3 linked regions of the Elephas maximus indicus genome follow. The main gene of each other region encodes a partner of the protein of the gene in region 3 in a complex. Links are inferred from orthologs where the notes say so. Each region holds a gene or a part of one and is shown on either strand. Other genes may lie near its edges.

Evidence for each region.
Region 1: mitochondrial import inner membrane translocase subunit Tim23 (region 3) and TIMM17A share a complex: the UniProt entries of both Homo sapiens proteins name them as parts of the TIM23 complex. The link is inferred for Elephas maximus indicus from reciprocal best matches to the Homo sapiens genes TIMM23 and TIMM17A.
Region 2: mitochondrial import inner membrane translocase subunit Tim23 (region 3) and TIMM21 share a complex: the UniProt entries of both Homo sapiens proteins name them as parts of the TIM23 complex. The link is inferred for Elephas maximus indicus from reciprocal best matches to the Homo sapiens genes TIMM23 and TIMM21.

What each region holds. Positions count from the first base shown.
Region 1 is NC_064836.1:10,555,345-10,559,092, reverse strand, and holds the start of TIMM17A (mitochondrial import inner membrane translocase subunit Tim17-A), read right to left. Parts: upstream 2,546-3,748; 5' UTR 2,503-2,545; coding exon 2,477-2,502; intron 1-2,476. UniProt on the Homo sapiens protein: Essential component of the TIM23 complex, a complex that mediates the translocation of transit peptide-containing proteins across the mitochondrial inner membrane.
Region 2 is NC_064829.1:81,626,148-81,629,895, forward strand, and holds the start of TIMM21 (mitochondrial import inner membrane translocase subunit Tim21), read left to right. Parts: upstream 1-1,267; 5' UTR 1,268-1,758; coding exon 1,759-2,059; intron 2,060-3,748. Other genes in the region: FBXO15 (F-box only protein 15), read right to left, coding at 777-859. UniProt on the Homo sapiens protein: Participates in the translocation of transit peptide-containing proteins across the mitochondrial inner membrane.
Region 3 is NC_064834.1:3,702,438-3,706,185, forward strand, and holds the start of mitochondrial import inner membrane translocase subunit Tim23, read left to right. Parts: upstream 1-1,329; 5' UTR 1,330-1,461; coding exon 1,462-1,567; intron 1,568-3,748. Other genes in the region: PARG (poly(ADP-ribose) glycohydrolase), read right to left, coding at 767-986. UniProt on the Homo sapiens protein: Essential component of the TIM23 complex, a complex that mediates the translocation of transit peptide-containing proteins across the mitochondrial inner membrane.

The sequences.
Region 1 (3,748 bases), on a different chromosome or scaffold from region 3:
GAACATAGTCTAGCTAAATCAAATAAATGTTCCTATGGGAAATAATGGGCTATATGAAAAAAAGGCTGAAGCCATACTCTTAAGGTAAATGTCAGGCAAATGCAGGCAACAGAGAGCCAGTAACTAACAGTAATAAGATTTAAAAGTTACCATTTATTAAGGGTCAACTATGTTTTAGGTGTCCCATAACTCAAATAAAACCTATGAATTCCAAGAAAGCTAGGCTAATTCATATACAGTCCAAAATCTTTTAACTTTGCAAAAACGAGTACTATCCTCTTCATTTTACGAGTGAGGAAACCAAGGCTCAGAAAGATTAAGTAACTAGTCCAAAATCATACGGGCAGTAACTAGTAGAATCAATTTAAATGCAACATCTAGTACTCCAAAGGCCCATATTCTCTCCACTATTATCACATGGTCTAAGGGTTTTTGAGAACACATGATAAAAAGGAGTATTTCGGATATTCACTGCAGCAGCATTCACGACAGCCGAAAGGCGGAAACAACCTAAACGCCCCTCGACCTGTGAATGGACAAACAAAACGGGGCATATTCACACCACAGACTGTCACTCAGCAATAAAGACAAACGAAGCCCTGATACATGCTACAAGATGGCTGAATCCTGAAAGCATTATGCTAAGTGAAATCAGGGCTTCATTCTGGTTTGAAGCCCTGCTGAGAATTTGCATTTCCACCCGAGATAAACTGAATCAGAATCTACATTTTAACAAGATCTCCAGCTGATTCTTACGTATGATAAATTCTGAGAAACACTGCTCTACTAGTGGTTCTCACAACTGGTCCCTAACCAGCAGTATTGGCATCGCCTGGAAACTTGTTAGAAATGCAAATTCTTAGCAGTGGTTCAAAACCGAGTGAAAAAAGTCAGTCACGAAAAGATAAGTATTGTACGAAAATATGCTTGTAGTTTTGAGCTGGGATGACTTGAGGAAATGCTGTTACTATATAAAAACAGGCCGTCAGAAGATAAAGCAGCTTTGACAGCAAAGCTGCCCAGAAAACTGTACTGCTTCAGGACATCCATACTAAGAGAAAGCAAAAAGTAGGTACTAGTGAATTAGTAAATCCAAACCCATTATTCTTATAACTTTTAATCCAACAAAGGTAAATATTTTACCCTCTTGCCAACCTGTGTCATCATACACCATCCAAGAGCAGTGTCAACTTCTACAATGTGCTGAAAGCTGCAATCTGAGTACAATCCAGTGTAAGGGGGACAATGCCTCAGTGAAGGTTGTTTAAAAGAGCTGGGAGGGGCTGAAACATATATCCTGCATACCTGTTAAGGGGCAGGGGACACAAAGCAAGCAACAGGGCTACATGCTGACAAGGTTAATAATTTAAAATCCTGGACACTTTCACAACTTGAGGACACCTCAGTTCTTGCTCTTACACAACAGTGGATAAGACCAAATAACAAGAGCTGGTTTTTCACTTATGGTCCCAGAAGCCTAAAACTCAGGCAACCTGGATTTCTGACAGCAATTACATTGTTTCATAATTAACTAAGTGTCTGGTTGAGGAGCCCTGATGATGCTGTGATTAAGCACTGGGCTGCTGATGGAAAGGTAGGCCGTTGGAACCCACCAGCTGGTCTGCGAGATAAAGATGTGGCAGTCTGCCTCCATAAAGATTTACACCCTTGGAAACCCTATGGGGCAGTTCTACTCTGTCCTATAGGGTCGCTATGAGTCGGAATCGACTTCGGCAACGGTTTTGTTAGTGTCTGGTTTATTCATATTTTTATTCCTTGAGCCTAACAATGCCTGGGCACAGAGCCCTCAATCAAAAAACGTTGAATAAATGAATGAATGAATTTTTGCTCATGGCTTTTCAGGAAACACAAACTACTATCCCTTTTTCCAGGTCATTTTTGCACCCCCCCCCCCCCGAAGGGAGAATTCCAAGCCAGAAAAGGAGGCTCCAGCCTACAAGGGGTTTATCCAGACTCTCTGGGTAAAGCTTATGTTCTATTCATTTGAAAACCTTCATCCTGCGGAGACATATCACGATATGAGTAAGTCTCAAGCCAGCGGCACCGCTTCAGAGGCCTATCTCCCCTTTCTCAATGCAGAAACTGAGCGAAGCGAGACGCAGAGCCGTGTCCAAGGTCATCCGAGCGAGCCGAGCACTACTGACCCCGCACAAGGCCGACTGTGCCCGGGCTGCCAGGAGGCTCCGCGGCTCCATGCGTCCGAGCCTGGGTCTCCTGACCACTCGCCGCAAGGTGGCCGGGGCGCTGGGCTGGGCCGACAAGGCGCTCACGCGGCCCGGGAAGTACAGGGCTGAGGATCCCACTGGCCGCTCAAGCCCGCGCTGCCCACGGCTACCAAGCCTATATCGACGAGCCTGCGGCCGAGTTCGGCTTGTACCTCAGGGCGTAGAAAAGGGAAAAAGGCGGATGTGGGCAGAAGGGCAGGAGAAAGGCAAGGACAGCGGATAAGGCTCACCAAGGCTCTCGCGCATACTCCTCCATCTTGACTCCAGCAGCGCGAGCGAAGCGGGGCAAGCTGGGCGGAGCCGGGCAGGCTGGGCGGAGCCTGACCCCAGCGCCGGAAGTGATCCCGAAAGGCGGAGGGTAAAGTCCATGCGGATTGGTTTACCGTTTCCTCCCTCAGCCAATGGGAGCCGTGACTGCTGGGGACGCTGTGGGGGCGCGGCATTGGCTCCGGCACCTCGAGGCTCTCGGAGGCGCCGGAGGTAGGCAGTGTGTGCGCGGGGTTTCCTCAGTGGGGTGGTGTTCAGATTACCCGGTCACTGAGATAGCGGTACGGATTTTGGTGGCGCAGTGGGTTAACAGCTGGGCTGCTAATCGAAAGGTCGGCGGTTCGAACCGACCGGCCCCTCCGGGGGAAAAAAAGGATTTACAGCCTTGGGAACTCTGTGGGGCAGTCCTACCCTGCCCTGTAATAGGGTTAGGGTAACTGTGTGTCGGAATCAACTCAAGGGCGGTGGGTTTGCTTTTTCGTTTTTTTGAACTGTCAGTGGCCTGAGATAAAACAAACAAAAAAACCAAATCCCTTGCCATCGAGCCCATTCTGACTCATAGCGACCATATAGGACAGAATAGAAGTGCTCCATAGGATTGTCAAGGCTGTAGTTTTTACGCAGACTGCCACATCTTTCTCTTGGAGCGGCTGGTGGATTCCAGTCAGTAGCTAAGTGCTTAAGCACTGTGCGACCATGTCTCCTGGCCTGAGATTAATCTGTTGTTATTCCCCTCTAGAGTTCACCAAACTTCTTTCTCTCGCCCTTTTAGTACTTTGGCTGTCAACTGTGGATTCATGCTAGTTAATTCGGCTCCTTTGAGCTTACAGTCGACCACATTCATGTAGATGGCAGTTAAAGGCGGTCTTCATTTGGCACTTTGGTGATTGACTTTAAAATATGTATATATTTATTTTATGGAAAAGTCAGCGGGATAAATATATACAATACTGCAGGGAAGAGTGAGGTCCCCTCCAAAAGCTTGGAAATAAGACAAGCAGATGTATTAAACCCTTTAGAACTAAAGACTGTCAGTAAATGGGTCTTGTATGTAAGAAGAACGGTTCAAACTAATCTGATTTGGGGTAAGTTCAAGAAGGTCTGTTTGGAACTTGTGACTGTAATTAAGAAAGCTTCAGTCTAATAAATTGTACAGAATGAAGAGAGGATATGGGAGATAGCCACATGGAGCCTAGAATGAGAGAAACTCAGAGAGCAAGAATTTGATGTTTAGT
Region 2 (3,748 bases), on a different chromosome or scaffold from region 3:
GCCTCACCCTTCCAAGGTGCCTTTCCCTCTGTGAGGAAACCCCAAGAATAACAGAGCAGAGATGAGCACGACAGGCGCAAGCCCCAGCTCTTCCAGAGGAAGACAGGGCAAAGCAGTCTGAGAGCCCCTGCTGCGGCTCTCCAAAAGGAGCACCAACGGTATGCGCTCAGAAACGAGGACTTAGACTCGAGATCCGAATGGCAGCCTGCCTGCCTGCCAGAGGCTTAGGGGTGGTGAGTAGCTGTTCACAAATCCTAGGCACAAGAGGAAACCTAAAGTGTCGCTCGCCAAAAGGCTTCTATGAGCAGATTCTACTTCCCTGGGTTGTAACGTCACAAAAAGACAAGAGGCGATTTTCTGGCCCCAGAATAGCGAGAGTGCTTACGTGAGAGCAGAGAGCACCATGACCTACGGGACGTCTCAGCTGTGCGAAGGCAGACTAGAGGTCTACACCTGCGTGCGCACGTGCACGCCTCCCCGGATAGGTGACTTAAGATGACAAGAGACTCCCAGCGTGTTCCCTTCCCTCCCCCCCGCCCGTCCCACGGAACCTAGTAGCTGTGAGTGAAGGGAACGCGAAAAGGCATTCCCTTTGCAGCTACATAATGGGATACCCAGCGTTTCCGAGTTTGAGACTTCCCCGCCTTAATGCGAGCAGCGCGCGCCCTGCAAGCACGGGAACTCCTACAGATCAATGAGGACCGCGGGCCGACGCGGGCGATTAAGGGTGTCCCTCGCGGCCCCCAGGCGCTCACCCACCACGCCCCGACCGTCACCTGAGCCCAGTGACCCCCGCAGGAGGCCCGAGGCCAGGACAGCGCAAGAGCTGCCGCGGGGCCCAGCCGCGTCCGGTCGCCATGGAGACCGCACTCCCGCGCCGCTGCGCCGACTCGGGGGCGGGACCGGAGCCGACACCGCCCCTAAGTGCGCCTGCAGCAGCGTTCTAGAAACTTCCAAGTCGACTTCTGCACACGCCGCCATCCTGTAGGCCCCGGGATAGCCGAACTCTTCTCCGTTTGGGAGCGGCTGTGAGGGCTTAGGGAACTCGGGACTGCGACGCCGCGAGCATCCCCAGAGAGGATTCTCACACACGGCCTCTGCGGCGGGCAGGAGAGTGCTAGAGAATCTGAAACGCCAAGACTCAATGACCAGCTCCTAAGTTACACAGAGCCCCAATTAGACCATGCCGTATGTAATTGCTAATTTGATTTCTGTAAAGTATTAACAGGTTTGCTTAAACCACGCGCGACCGAGGTGCGAGATTTCCCCCAAGCACGGCCCCCCCGTCTCGGCTTTTCCCAGTGCGCAGTCGCGACGGCTCGCGCGAGGGAGCCTGGGAGCGTTGGAAGGGCCAGGGCGCGTAGCCCGCCGTGCATTATGGGAGACGCAGTCCGTTGTGCTTCACACCGTGGCAATTGTTCTGAGAGCGCATGTCCTCGAACTACTGTTCCCAGAATTCCGCACAGGTCCCAGGCTGCTGTGCGAAGGCATGGCGGGGAGAAAGGGAATGTCCGCGTAAAAGGAAACCAGGGCGGCTTCAGCTGAAGCACAAAGAGCCGAAGGGAGGGCGACCTCGGCCTTCTTCTCGAGGCCTCCATCCTAACAACGCTCCTGGGGCAGCCGTGTTTTCTGGACACGCCTTACGGGATCCTGGTGTGGATGTGTGGACCAGCCCGTGTCTTATGTGTGTGCAGTGGGCGGTGAAGCTTTGCTGGTTGTAGTTGGCCCCGTCCCCAGGGGGAGCAGCACCCTGTGACCATGATTTGTACTCTTTTGCGAGCTGTGCAGCATACGGAGAAGCTGCACAGGTCCCCAGCGGCGCGACTGTGTTGGCCCCACTTCGTGCTTAACAAAGCTTCCTTGAGGACTGAGCCCAGCTTGAAATGGTGGCTGCCAGAGCAGAACAAAACTGTGCGGCCCAGAGGTATCCTTGGGGTCATCCCGAGAACCATCTGGACGCAGGGACGGGGCCTACAGAGAGCAAAGGAGGACGGCAGCAAACAAGTGTCTGTGCATAGAAGTCCGAGAAGGGAGACCGATGTCTCAACGTCACAGAAAGGTAAAAAGGAGGCGTCCAGTAACCATCATTCCGTCACAAACGTGGCAAAAGCCACCAGTGCCCTTTTACACAAAGTTCAATGCTAAAAATGTAAAATTCGCACACGAACTAAAAGGTGGAATTGTTAAGCACGTTACAATCAGAATATAGGCCTACCAATTTTCTTCACAAATTCAATCCCAGATTTACAAGTTGATCTTGAATTTGATATAACTTGGTTGCATTACGTCTAGAAAATTTCTCTCAACTTGTGTTAGTCCTGGTGTGATAGAAGCTATGTAAAATTTAAACGTTACATATTTTAAAGTATGAAATCTCGTTGGAATCTCTTTCAGGTGGACATTAGCTCTCTTCTGTTTTGTGTATGAGGCATACTTCCCCCAAGATCACACAACTGATAATTAAACATGAATTTTTCTTTTTTCCTAATATCCAGGTCACAGCTATTCACAAATGTTTCTTGAATACCCCTTTATACTCAGTACTTGGACAGGTGTTAAGTACTATTGGCTGTGGCAAAGGAATTTTACACACAAATAACGTCTTGGGAAGAAAATAGAGCATGAAACGATAGTGAAAAAAGCAAATTAGTTGTGCGACAAAGAAAGAACATTTTGTTATCAGTAGGTGCCATGGAATCGATCCCAGCTCAGCAATCTCATGTGACAGAGTAAAAGTGCCCCATAGGGTTTCCTAGGCTATAATCTTTACAGAAGTAGATTGTCAGGTTTTTTCTCCTGTGGTGCTGCTGATGGGTTCGAACCACTGATGTTTCAGTTGGCAGCTGAGCGCTTAACCATTGGGCCATCAGGGCTCCTAGAAAGAGTAATAGAGAGCATATAATAAAGAATAATTGGATAGAATAAATAGGAAAGAAATTATTGAATCATAAACAGTAAGGAAAACCATATGTAGTTCTGCTCACTTACTGAGCGACAACTGTTATGCCTATGTACTGAGTTAGAGTCTATACTGCAGAATTAAAGATGTCCAAAACGTCCCTTGCCCTCAGTGTGATAACATGCAGTAACAGTACGTACATATAAAGTAGGAAGGATGATACATAATTTGTTACGAAGAGTCAGAGAAGGCTTCACAAATAAGGCATTTTAAACTTAATTTTGTATTTATTTCGTTTTACAAGTAATTTGTAGAAAAGGTAATTAAGGACAAAGGAGACAAAGAAAGCAATTGAAACTTATTATTTCCATAATACTACGTGTGCTTTGAATGTCATACTAAAATTTTGCAGGGGCCTGACTTTGGTGAGAAGGCTTCCTTGGATGAAGGCAGTTCCCAGAGAGGGACGCAGCCAGGAGTAAGCGCCCAGTCCTGAAGAAGTCTGGCTGGCACACCATAACACCCACTACAGGAGGGTAGAGGATTGCAGAAACAGAGGGCGTGAGTGAGGGCTGTATGCACGAAGGTGTGAGGTCTCAAAGGTCCAGGAGGAGGAAGGTAGGCAGTGAACAGCTTCCATGGGAAACAGCTATAAGGTTAACGCTTAAAACGTAGACCTGAAATCTGTAGAGCCTGGATAATGTTCAGTGCAAGGCTTTACACAGGTGGATACACAGTAAAAGTTTGTGCTACATGAGTAGGGGACAGGGTCTCCACATGCCCTGAGCAAGGCAGGAATGAATGTAAGGGAGGCGACAGTCAGGGATCCAGGGGATTGAAGCCAGTGGC
Region 3 (3,748 bases):
TCCATCTCTCACTACTCTTCCCTGTCCATTCTCTGTACCAGCCAAATTCCTAGAACACTTTCCCACTTCTTCTGACTTCCCTCCCTTCATCTAGCTAACCGCTACTGATTCTTCAGGCCTCACCATAGCATCTCATCTTCTGGGAGACTATCTTTGATCCCATAGTCTAGGTTAGGTACTCCTCCTGACTCCTACCATAACGATTCGTGTTCTGTACATCAGAGCACTCATTACCCTTTATTATACTAACCTGTGTAACTGTCTTCCTGTCTTGATAGATTTTAGGATTTAAAGACAGAGGTCAAGTTCCTCTCATCAAGTACTGTACACAGGAACTAATACAATGTCACCTAAGACCTACAGCTCTGCACCTCAAAAAAAAAAAAGGGTCCCAGAATCTGAATGAAGCTTCAACAGCTTTTTACCTACAGGCTGAGGCACACCGCTGCTTCACATACACAATCAGACCTCCTTGACCCCTAGGGCAATCTCTCAGTCAAACCAGAAGAAAGCAAACAGGTGGAGTCTTCTGCCACTTTCCGCGCTATGAACGTTTGCTCATCAGGGTTTCTCACACTACCAATCTTACCAAGAAAAATACGGTCCCATTTCCCCACTAGTGGCCTTGTTGGCTTAACAAGGGGACCTCAGAGTGATGCGTGTTTAAGACCAGAAAGGAGCAACTGGAGCCCCTGGGTCCTCGGACTGAGGTCAGGAAGAGGTTCGGGCCGGGGCGAAGGAACAAGACTTTAATTTCCCCACGTACCAAGCGAGGTGGTGCTGCCTCTGTGCGGTCCCGCCCGCCCGGGGACGCAGCCTGGCGAGGACGGTGGGGCCCTGCACTGCACGGACGCGTCCCTGGGGTCGAGGACGCGCCCCTGCCTGCCGGGGAAGCTCCGGGCGTCCGAGCGGGCCGGCGGAGAGCTTGCAGCGGCGCCCCAGCGGGGTCGCTTGGCGCAGGGCTCCCAGCCGGGGCCCGCGCTCATGCTGGGATCCGCAGCACACAGTCCCCGGGCCGCCCGGGCAGAGCCTCATTCACAAACCCCGAGAGGGTCGGGCTGCGCCTCCTTCTCGGCGCCTCCCCGCACCATTCCCTCTCCGCCACTGCCCGCTTCTGCAGCTGCTGCTCCGCTGGCCTCCCACGCCGGGCCCCAGCCAGCCGCCTGCCTTCCCTCGTCCACAGGAACCCCACCTGCCTGCCTCGGGACGCGCCGCTTACAGTCTGCCTTCCTTCACTTTCCCACCACCGGAGCGCTGCCGTCAGGCGCTTCTGGCTTCCGGGGCGTGCACTGTCGCAAAACGGAAGTGTGGTGCTTAACGGGCGCCGTCCCCCGGAAGGTCAGCGTGTGAGGGAGCCGGTGGTAGGCCGGAGTTCCCCGCGGTTACTGAGGGGCCGCGGCCGAGCAGACGACGCCGGCCTTGGGGGTGGCGGAAAGCAGACGGGAAGGGAGCTGCGACACCATGGAGGGCGGCGGGGGAAGCAGCAACAAAACCACAGGGGGCTTGGCCGGGTTTTTCGGAGCCGGGGGAGCAGGTTACTCGCACGCAGATTTGGCCGGCGTTCCCGGTAAGTATCGGGCCTAGCCCGCGAACATTTCTGACTGGTTTCTGCGGCGACGCTAAACATGCCGCTCCTCCTTTTTCTTTCTTTCCTTTTTTTTTTTTTTTTGCTGTCGTTCAAAAGCCTCAATCCCGTGGTGGGGTCAGGGTGTCAGCACAGCAGCTATTTCAAGACCGAACGAGCTTTGAGGGCCGTGAATTCACGAGGTGTGCTTTCTGAGGTTGACCTGGACTCACGAGATGCAGCCTGAATTCTTCCATTTATATCCAAGCATCGTACCTTTTTCCTCACACACATTCCTTGTGTGTGGGGCCGTGTACTTGGCCCTGTATTAAAAGCAGGGTCCGGCTCTGCAGGTAAATGCATCCCATATGTCGGCCTCGTAGTTATTAGCACAAAGTTGCATGTTTTAAATCCCAAAGTACTCGTTAGAACAAAACTTTCAATATTAATGCATCTAGGAGAGAAAGAAACACGATTTGAAACATACTAGGAAAATCTGGAGGTGCTCAAAAGTGAGCTGAACTTCAAAGGTGGATTATAGACATGAAGAAAAAAGCCAGTTAAGGGTGCTAGAAAGGGAAGTGCCCAAGCTCAAGAGTGCAGAGACATGAATATCCTAGCTGTGCCCTGTCCTTAACCCTAGCAATATGTATTCCAGGTCTTGGGACTTTATGGCAATAGGTGTCCAACTGGAAACATAGAAGCTGGACCTAAAGACAGTAGGAAGTTGATGATAGATGGGCCCTTTGCAAAAGTGTTTTCTTTTTTGAGAATTTTTTATTTCTGTTGACCTGTTTCTGTAGAACATTATGCTTAAGAAAAACAAAAAGCCGTTTTATAACCATAGTGTCACTTGTGTCAAAACTGGGTCTAGAATATGGTTTATCTATAATGAGTCTTAAAAGCTCTGAGTTTTGGAGCACAGAGAAAACTAATATGACAAAATATTGTTGCATTAATTTGATTAAGATTTGAAGATAAATTGAGGGTTTTTGAGAGTGAACACCATTCATTGAGCACCTACAATTACCGAGTGCCTTTCTGGGTTTGGAACTCACAGCAGTTTATAAAAAAGCTATTATGAAGCATGCATCCTACAGAGGTGAGCCAAGTAACCTAAGTAGAAAACGTTTTAGTTAGTGATAAGTGCTAAAAGGAAGAAATCAGGATCATGAGGTGGAGGTGGAGGGGGGAGCATTTTAGAATGGCTGGTCAGGGAAAACAGCTCAGGAAAGTTGACACTTGAGCTTTGACCTGCATACAGACCCATCTGAACAGTTTTTATAGCCTAGTGTGTCTGCAGTTTTTAAGGATGTTGGAGGGGGTAGGAGATAATGAGGTCAGAGAGGCAGGGAATGGCAGCCGATGTAGGGTTTTGTAAGCCACAGTAAGGAATTTGGATTTGATTATATGTGTAGAGGGAAGCCATCAGAGCTGATTTCCTTTTCTTAAAAACCGCTCTGTTTGCTGTGTAGAAAATACATTGAAGGAGCAGGAGGAAGTAAAGAATCCAGTTAGGTAGGAGACTCTTGTAGTTAGGTTGAGACTTGGTGGTAGGACTAGGGTAATGGCAAGAGAGATGGTGATAAATATCATAATTAAAGAAATACAGTAAAACCTGCAAAAGCTGAAACCTGTGTAAGGCAGAAAACTGTCAGAGAAGGAAAACTCAAATATTTTTCACTAAAACAAGCAATAGAAAAGTGGCAAGGCTGCACCCTGTCAATGGCAGAAAACTTGTGAGACCAGGAAAAGCAAAGTTATCCCGTCAAGCTCCGGCTCTCACAGGTTTCACTGTGTATTAAAAGTAGAATTAACAAGACTTTCAATTGATGAAAAGATAAGAGGTATGGGTACTATATAGATCTGCAATCAACTGATGTACAGAAGGATCCAAAAATTAAATTTAAAATTTAGGAAAGTTGGTTTTCCTTGATACATTTTTCTCTTTAAGATTAGTAGAATTCAGGTCTTGCCCTCTGAAAGTTTGCATTCTCTTTTGCCCCCAACCCCAATCCCTATAATAATGACCGAAGAATTCTCTACCTTGCCGTGGTAAATCAAGGCAGCAACTGTCAGCACTAAAGTCTAAAGGAACTGCCTTGAAATATTTATGTACAACCAAAAACCCGATCCAACCACTGTTGTTCCATGGAATTTGTCTCTTGTCAGTGTTATTTTGCA